Sus scrofa: one gene and its partner. The protein of the gene in region 2 purifies or fractionates together with the protein of the main gene of each other region. This does not show direct contact. Links are inferred from orthologs where the notes say so. Each region holds a gene or a part of one and is shown on either strand. Other genes may lie near its edges. The genes, in order: PFN1 and VASP.

Region 1 (4,590 bases), on a different chromosome or scaffold from region 2:
AAAACCACACAGCACCTTGTTAGAATCTTTTTTTATTCAGAAAAAAAAAAAAAAAAAAAAAAAAAAACCCAAAAAACAAAAAAAGTTTTCCAACCACACACAGGAAAGGGTATGGGTTGGGGGAGGTGTCTGTCCATCCAGCCCTGGCCCCCAATCCACGTGGTTTTGGCAGCAATAAGGGGTGTGGGGTAATGGCCCAAAAAATAAAAATGGTGGATGTGTGTGTGTGGGAAGGAGAGGGGTGCAAAAGCAGTGGGGAGTGAAGGGGAGGGACAGACGAGGTCAGTACTGGGAACGCCGCAGGTGGGAAGCCATTTCATAACATTTCTTGTTGATCATACCACCGTGGACACCTTCTTTGCCCATCAGCAGGACTAGCGCTGGAGGAAAGAGAAAGGAGGCTAGGACCCAGGTGTCACAATCCCACTCCCGCCAGCTGTTCAGCAGCTGTCCAGCCCTGGGGGCTGTAACCCAACCTCATCTTTCCCAACCCCCCACACACAGGCAGGCTGTCAGTCACCCTGAAACAATAGGGCTTTTCAAAAGGGGAAAATCAAGCTTAAAGGCTGGAAAGGAACACAGTAAAATTTAGGGGTCAAAGGCTCGCAGACAGTTGACTCATGTGTTCAGGCTAGAAATGGCTGTGGATGAGCCTGCCACCTCCAAGTTTTAACAAAGAGCCCCAAAGACAAGAGCTCAAGTGCCGACTTAGAACTAACAGCCTACCTCCTCCAAGAAAACCAGAGAGTTTCCCAGCTAAAAAGACTCAAGGCAAGAAGGAACTTAAGAGGTAATACAGTTCAACTTCTTTCTAAGATGAGGAACTGAGACAGAACTAGAGGGACAATCCAGCGTCCCAGGCCTGATCCCTTCATACTGGGGAATCCACAAAGAAAACCCGAAAGATTAGCAGAAGGAGGTCCATTAGGGAAAGGGCAAAAAACTCAGAAACTCACTCTTGGCAGTCATGGTGACAGTGATATTGAAGGTGGGGGCTCCGCCAGTGCTCTTGGTACGAAGATCCATGGTAAATTCCCCGTCCTGCAGCAGTGAGTCCCGGATCACAGAGCATTTCTGGCCCCCAAGCGTTAGCCCATTCACGAAAAAACTTGACCGGTCTTTGCCAACCAGGACACCAACCTCAGCTGGCTGGAAGGGGAACCAAGCACCATCAAGTTAGTCAGTACCCCAAGGTTCCCACCTTCTCCAAGGACCCACCTGCCTTCCATTTCTTCAGGAAGCTAACCCCCCTGGGAGGGGTGTATGTTATGTGCTTTGTACACACCAGTGAAATTTGAGCAACTCAGGACTGTCGGAAGTTCGTGCACAAAAAGATCATGATCCTCAAACTTAGGAGAATGGTAACAGAAAGGGACGACATATTCCCCTGGAGACTTAGATGTCATTTCTTGGGAAAGCAAACCCAGGAAATAAAGGGGGCCAAAAAGGAGTGAGGAGAGTGGAGTGGAATGGACTGGAGAGCCTTTGGATGCTCAGAAGTCTCCTTCAGGAAAAGCAGAAGCGAAGAGGGGAAGGGAGGGGGCGGGCGAAGCAGGAGAAGCAACTTTGCCCTTATTTGGTCAAAGGTTCTACAGGAGTTGTTAGGGGCCCGGACGCCTGGGTCTCTAAGTAACCTTGAGTTCAGGTCCAGGTATCTGTGCTCTAAGAGGAGGAAGCAAGATGTCTGGGGGCATTCCGGGAAAGTTGAAAAACTTTTGGAGGGGGCCTGGGGCTAGACCCAGCAAGCCAGCTCTCGGGTCTTGATACCCCAGGGAAACTCTCTCCCCTCCCCCTTACACCCCAAATCCCCACATCCGGTCCCCTCCCGCCCGGAAATCCCCTTCCCCCCCTTTCGAACTTCCGCTCCCCCTCCCCACTTCCGGGCAGTGTGGACTGGGGAGGTGGTGAGGGGACAGCAGAAGTCATCCCTTACTCCTTCACTGATAATTCAGTCCTAGAACTTCTCACAAAGTTCCCCTGCTCCAGGCCCCGCCGGATGGCGGGAAGGGAGGGCGAGGGGACTTCCGGGATCGGTCTCACAGGAATGTTGAGTCTAACGTGCCGACTGCGGGGGGGCGGAGGGCGTGAGGCGGCCTAGCCCTCTCTAACGGAGCTGGGAGGGGCAGGGAGCGCAGAGGACGGGCATGGGACCTTGGCCACGCGAGCCGGGCTCCCACCGCATAAGGAGGAACAATGGTGGAGGGGGCGCGAGCAGGCGGGCGGAAGTGGAGCTCAGGGTCCAGGGGTCCCCGAGTCCCTTCTCAATCACAATCCCGGGTTGAAACTGCAGCGTGTGCCCGCCCCGCCCTGGAGGAGACGGAAGTGGGCCGCCGCACCGGGCGGCGCGCCCCTCCCCGCCCTGTGCCCCGGATGTAACGCCCCGTCTCGGAGAGCGGGGCCGGCGGGCTGGCCGGGCGCCGCCGCCCGGGACGTACGACTCGGGGGGCCCCGGGACGGACCGGCTCACGTGCAGCCACCATTCGCGCCACTTCCAGGGCCAGGAGCGACCACGGCTTTTCGCTGCGCTCTCCAGAGCGTGCCCGCCCCCACCCAAGTCCCTCCCTCAGGGTCCAAGCCCGGCCAGTTCCCCAGACCCCGCAGGCCTCGCAGTACCGTGATGTTGACGAAGGTTTTCCCGGGGACGGCGGCCCAGACGGAGGGCGAGTCCTTATAGCCCACGATGGCCGCGTCCTGACAGGTCCCGTCCGCCATGAGGTTGTCGATGTAGGCGTTCCACCCGGCCATGGCGCTGCTACTGGGGCTGCTCTCGGGGCTACTGCTGGGGCCGCGGGTTGGGCTCGGGCTGCCTCGGACTGGCGGGCGGGGGAAGGCAGAGAGCTTGGGGCACGCGCTGCCGTCCGGACCGCGGCTCTGCTAGCTGTGCAGCAGCCCTCGCACCGCCACTTCCTGCTCCTCCCCACCCCCCTAGATTTTTATTTGCAAAGGGCGGTGGGGGCGGGGCCTACTCCTCATCCCCTCCCTCCTCCTTCTCGCCTGCCCAGATACCGAACTTTGCAAATGCAATTTAAAAAATCCCTCCCCCTATTGCAAAATTTGCCGAGTTCGATGGGAACCGACGCTGAAAGGATGGGAGGCGGGGGGGTTAGAGTTGGGGCTCGCGCCAATTTGCATAGAATATTAGACTTTGGTGTAGGGAAAGAGAGTGAGCCAGAGGGAGGAAGGAAAGTGAACGGAGAAAGAACTAGCGAGCTGCAAATTTAGCAGATTAAGAGGGTTCGGGGAACTCAGGGTTAAACGGAACGACTCCCCCTTCCCCCACCTCTGCTGTGGGGTTGCGGGGGGAGGAACGGCAGGCGGCGGCAGCGCGTGCGCCCGCGCCTGCGCCGGGGCAGAGAGCGAGAGCGCGTGGGGCGGTTAGGGCCGGCCGCCGGCTTCGCGGGCGCGCGCCGGGGCGCGCCGGGCCGGGCCGAATTGGACCCCCAGCGAAGGAAGGCGGGCCGGGGACGTGTCTGCTGCTGGGCGGAAGGGGCGGGGGTGAGGCGCGCACGTTACCGCTTCTGCACTCTTGATTTTATTTATTCAAGAAATAAAGGCAGTAAAGGGAAATTTGACAAAATACCCCGACCATTTTCCAAGTTGAAGGCGCCCACCGGGGACACTTCTGTCCTCAGCATCTGCACGGCGGCATAAGTTGCACTCGCTGGAGCCCACCCGACTCCACGGGGATTATCCCTCGCGCTGGATCAGCTCCAGCCTTAGGCCTCACTCCATGACTGTGCCCCGGTCAGCAGTTTGGGTCGCCGTCCGTCCCCCTTACCCTGTCTCTGCAGAGGTCACTGAGCCTCGGCGCCCGCGGGGCGCGGCGGGCGGGCCTATTTTTCAAGGCGGAAGAATACTAGGGTTTCAACATGCAACTTTTTCAAGAAGAGGAAAGTCCCTTCTACCCTGGCCCCCTGGGCCTTTTTCCTCTTCTTTTTTCAGTAAAACTTATGCTAAGAAATTGTGTGCGAAGAGTTCGTTCGCCGCCCGCTGGGAAGCGGGTGGGGTTAGGACCCGGCTTAGGTGAACCAGCCCCGGCTGGCCGCCGGGTCCGCTGAGGGGCTTGGCCGCTTCCGGTCCCTCGGGGGAGGGGCGCCTCCCGGGCGTGAAGGGGCTTCGTACCTTCCCCGTCCCCCCCAGAGGGGTGCGGTGCTCCCGAGGCCGCTGCGAACCCTAAAGGCACCCGCCGCCCCCCGAGCCTGGTTCCTCGACAGCCGCCGTGGCTGAGTCACTGGCCGGCCCGGGCGGGGCCGCACGCGGGCACGTGGCGGCGCTCCCCGCCCGCCGTCTCCTGACCTCTGGCCTGCCGCACCCCCTACCCCAGGGTGGAAATCTCCCGAGAGGGAGCGGCCAGAGATAAGGGGGGGGTGAGATGGAAGACGGGAGTAGGGATCCTGGGGTGGGGGCTGGGAGACCGACCCCGCAGGGCAGGCGGGGTGGGGAGGAGAGCTCGGGAAAGGGCCGGGGGTGAGTCACCAGGCGCTGGCCGCTCCGGCGCCTGCGGGAAGGACCTCCGAATCAGGGGCGACGAGCCGAGGCGCCGGTGACCCTCGCCCTTTGGCTGGCCAGCCTGCTGGCCCAAGCCCCAGC
Region 2 (4,553 bases):
GATTGAAAGAGATAAGAAAAGCCCTAAATGCAGGACCTGGAATTTGGCACTGGCTCCATATGAGGGAGCTGCGAGGCATTACAGGAGAGAGCTTCTCATCACAGGAGGCAATCAAGCATAGTCACTCTGGATTACTCAAACTTTCCGGATTAGAAGCTTGCCCTTCCCTTCACCCCTTTAGTCTACAGCCCCTTAAACCATAAACCTTGGGATCCACCCCCCCAGACCTCCAGGCACACACAACTTTCCAAACTACAAATCTTTCCCATCTGGGAGGTGGGACAGTCATAATAGTATCAATCTCTTAGAACTGCTAGGAGGATCAAATTGAATCTAGGCACCCTAGTACAGTACCTGGCACACAGTACATGCTTGATCAAATGGTCTCTTACTTTTAAAAAAACATAAATTAAAATAATAATAATAATTACAAGTATTGGAAGACGAAAAAAATGGTCCAAGTTTTTCTTGAGCCCCTTCTGCCCTGAGATTCTCAGACCTCTGCCCCACTTCCCAGCCTTCCCAGAATCCCAGCTCAGAATCCCGGACACAGCAGACACTCAACAAATATTTGTCAAACCAAGAGAAAAAGAACTGTATCTTGTAATTTTCCATCTCAACATCCTCCCTTCCAACTGCCCCCAAGACTGTCCCCAGCCAAACCAGCCAGAAGTCAGAGGAGCCCAGCCCCCTCCCCTTCCTCAGTAGTGCTTAGGAATTTCTGAGCGATCTTGGGCCAGGTCTTTCTCTCTTTGAGCCTCAGTTTCCCCAGCTGCCCCCCACCCCCATACAGGGGCATGGGTCCTTTGGAATCCTGGCAGGGGGAGAAGGGGCCCGGCCCAGGAAGTCGGGTGTGGTCACAGGCAGGGAAGACCCCTCTCGAGGTGGGAGTAACCCTCTGGTGGGACAGGCCTCGGCTCGACTTCTGCCCACCCCCCAGGAGGTGGGAGGTTTGGCCGAGGCCAGCAGTCGGGGGCCTTGCGGGAGGGCGAGGGCCTCCGGGACTGGGGGAGGGGGGCGGGAGGCCCAGACATTGCTCCTGCCCTTTTACGGTCTCAGTGAGTGAGGCAGCACTAACTCGGACATCCGCCATCCGCCTTCCACGGTGCCTGGGACCGGAAACGCGGCGGGGGGGGGGGGGAGGCAAGGGGCGGGGCTGGGGGGCTGGGGGAGAGGAGAGTCCCCCGGGGAGGAAGGTGAAGGAACGGAGCCTGGCTCCCGAAACCTGCCCCCTCGGGGCGTACCTTGAAGGGATGTTGCTGTGAGCAGGGGCAGGCTAGGCAGGAAGTCTCGTGCGGGTCTGCGGGTGCTCCCTTGCTCCAAATTTTCCAACAATCCCTTTACCGCAGAAGGAACAAACGTGGGAATGGGGGTTCTCTGATGGCCGTAAAAAGCAATGCCACCCTGATGTGAGAGGGCAGGGGTACGGGGAATGTGGGGGAAGTGGGAGGATGTGGGCAGCAGGGGGTTAATCCCCAGCCGTCCTCGGGGCCTCCCCCTCAACCTGGGGGCTCTGGGGCAGGAAGTCCCTGCGAGAGTAGAGGAAGGGAGGTAGTATTGTCAGGCTCAAGGGAGAGATTATGGGGGGCCAGGGGGAGGGGAGAATAGGGGGGCCTAGTCGGGTCCCCCAGCCAACACCGGCCCCGCCCTCAGGTGAGCCCAGGAGTTTTGAACGAAGCCCAGGAAAGACAAAATCCCTGGGTGCCTTGGGCCCCCGGTCCCCAGGATTAAATTCCTGGGAAGATAGCTAGAACTCTTTGGGAAGCCCGGCTCCCAGGGGAAGAGGGCTATGACCTTGAAGCTTCCCAACGCCCCCTCCAACAACCGCACAACTCCGGACCGCTGGGGAAGGGGGGGCGATGTGGAGAGAAGGGGGAGGCGCTGTGGTGGGGAAAGCAGCCGGCCCACGGCGCTCCTTGCCCGCCCCCCACACCAGCTGTCTCGACAGGTGAGTCAGGAAGACAAAGGCCCCCCTTCCCCCAGCTGCCGCGCCCCCTCCCTCCCAAGGGCCCGCGCAGGTGGGAAAAGGGGCTGCCCCTCTGGCACGGGGCCGGGGTGCCGCCCTCGGCCCTAGGCACAGCCCGTTTTAAGCAAATTGTGAGTGGGAAGCGGCGGGGAGTCCGAACCAGATCCTCGAGGCTGCATCTGGGTCGGTGGATCTGTCCGCACCAGCCTCCTCCACAGGAGGACGAGAACCCCTAAATTTAGGGGGTTAAGAGCCCTCGAAGTTAAGGGGCAAAGTCCTCTTGGGAAGACGTTTCCCGGCACCATGTAAAGAGGGACCCCGAAAGCCAAGATCTTCGTTTCAATCTCTCTTCCAGGTCCCAGGGACCTCCAAACTGGCCCCCCCATAATCTCTCCTGGGGCCGGCTAAGATTTGGGGGGAGTCTGAGCCCTGCCTAAATCCCAGCCTCCCGGCCGGGAGTACCTAACAACTTAGAAGTCCTCCGAAAAAGTCTTTTAAAAATTCGGGAGTCCTCGGAGCGCCCCCAAATCTGAGGGCTCCCGGGAGAACCTCACCGGCACCACCCGGAGCCTTGGGAATCAAGGGAAAGTGATCAATATTTGGAGCCCGTCCAAGGGGGATCGGCCTCAAATTCGAGGCTCCCAGTGCCCTGTCCCTAAATTCCAGCCCGGAGCAAGCTGGGGGGAGGGGGACAAAGGCGGGGCGGGATCCCGCGCCGGGCAGGGAAGGGTCTAGAGGCAGTTCGAGGCTCACCTCATGGCTGCTCGGCTGGCGGGCGGAGCGCCCACGGGGTAGGTGCTCCCGGGGCGCCCCTGGCTCGAGGTTCAGGGGTTCGGGGCTGGCTCCAGGTTCTGCTCAGTCTCCCCCAGGGTCCCGCCCCATAGAGTCCGGCTTCCTGGGGGGAACGTGGACAGGGCCGGCGCGGATCCTCAGGCGCCTCCTCCCTTTGGGGAGCTGATCCGGGGTCCTTGCGGCAGAAAGGGGGTGCGGCGTCCCCTCCCCGGCGCGCCCCCTCAGCTGGCGGCGGCTACAATGTTACTCTTACTACTGTACTTCTCTTCGCTACATTTCGTTCCAAAATTCCACTCCCCGCACCCACAATGCCCTGCGCCTTAAAGGGGCCGCGGACACCTCCAGGCTGTGGGATTGGAGGGTGGAGGGTGCTTAAAAGGGCAACGCGGAACCTTAGACTTCCGCTATTTCCCTCTTCCCCAACGTTATTGCACAGCGATGCACTCTGGGGAGTCACCCCCAAATTAGGGGGGCAAGCTTGTTGGGGGGGAAGGGATCCTTCCTTCATCCTTAGTTCTCTCTCATGATAGAAATTCTCTGGGGACTCTCAGTGGGGGCACAATCTCTTCTCACCCTCCCCATCGACTTCTCCATTTCTTTACATTCTACTCAGTGTGGGGGGCGAGAAGGACCCTCTGGTTAAGCATAGATTCAAATTTTCTCCCTTAAATCCTACCTTCGGACCTCCCCCAACGTCTCTCTCCTCCGCCCGTTTATGAAGCTCTACTAAGGGGTGCACCCCCCCCTCCGAGGAGGGGGATGGGTGAGGAGGGGCCCCACCTCCTTCGTTGCCGCCCCCCCCACCGCGCCCGCCCAGGGAAGGTGAGGAGGAAGTGGGCCGAGGGGGCGCGGCTGGCCGCTGACTCACAGCCGCAGGGTGTGGGGGGGGGCGGGGGGAGGGGAGGTGCGGTGCAGGACCTGAGTGGGAATGGGACTCCTGGTCCCGCTGCGAATAAGGCCCACGACCCCCTCCCCACGCACTCCCCGCCGTGACTCAGTTTCGTCGGCGGATGATGGCGGGATCATCCAACAATCCGAGGACACGGAGGTGGGGGGACTCTCCCTAGCGCCTGATCCCGCGAGCCCCCACCCCCACGCGCCAGCTTGGGGCTGAGTCCCTACACCCTTCCCGGGCGTCCGCAGCGGGTCCCTCAGGCTCCGCCCCACGTGACGTCACCAACACGGTCATGCCCCTCCCGTAGAGCGCCACCTGGCCTGGGTTAGATGCCCTAGGCTGGTGTGGGAGCCTGGGAAATCATCAGTTCCACTTTTCGAAATGGGTAAACTGAGGTCTGGAGGCAGGTTGTAAGTATGGGCTCAGCATTCTTGCCTGAGCCTCCTAAAACTCCACTGGTGCCTGGGTGCAAGGTATGCGTGTAAAACAAACAGCTCAGGGCAGAGCCGAGGAGGTGAGGAAGTTAACCTTCCCAGCCTTTTTCCAAGCTGAATCTGCTGCCTGGGTGCCGTCCTGACCTTCACGTCATTTCTAGGCTGTGCTCTGTCGTTAAACCTTCTCTGAAGAATGGAGTGATCCTCTTCCCTTTTCCACTTCACTCTGGGAGACCTTGAACCCCGATCTACGGTAGGATACAGTTGTTTTGGTGTGTTTCCTCAGGCTGTGGGTTCTTTGTGGACAGAGGCAAACTTGATGGCTTTCTGGGTCTTACTAACCCAGCAAAGCAGCTCAACACACATGTACCCAACTGCATGAGAACCCCAGTTCTGTGTGACCGCCGGCAAGTCCTTTCTCTTTTCTAGGTCTCAGCTTTCCCATCTGTGAAATGGAAGGGGTGTC

The links.
Region 1: the proteins of VASP (region 2) and PFN1 purify together in Homo sapiens (affinity purification with western blotting; 3 studies listed by BioGRID and IntAct, with this or other methods). This does not show direct contact. The link is inferred for Sus scrofa from reciprocal best matches to the Homo sapiens genes VASP and PFN1.

Annotation. Positions count from the first base shown.
Region 1 is NC_010454.4:51,960,997-51,965,586, reverse strand, and holds PFN1 (profilin-1), read right to left. Parts: upstream 2,946-4,590; 5' UTR 2,746-2,945; coding exon 2,614-2,745; intron 1,150-2,613; coding exon 957-1,149; intron 381-956; coding exon 283-380; 3' UTR 17-282; downstream 1-16. UniProt on the Homo sapiens protein: Binds to actin and affects the structure of the cytoskeleton. At high concentrations, profilin prevents the polymerization of actin, whereas it enhances it at low concentrations. By binding to PIP2, it inhibits the formation of IP3 and DG.
Region 2 is NC_010448.4:51,872,170-51,876,722, reverse strand, and holds the start of VASP (vasodilator-stimulated phosphoprotein), read right to left. Parts: upstream 3,049-4,553; 5' UTR 2,725-3,048; coding exon of another isoform or gene 2,720-2,724; intron 1,949-2,719; exon of another isoform or gene 1,646-1,948; intron 1,339-1,645; exon of another isoform or gene 1,245-1,338; intron 1-1,244. UniProt on the Homo sapiens protein: Ena/VASP proteins are actin-associated proteins involved in a range of processes dependent on cytoskeleton remodeling and cell polarity such as axon guidance, lamellipodial and filopodial dynamics, platelet activation and cell migration.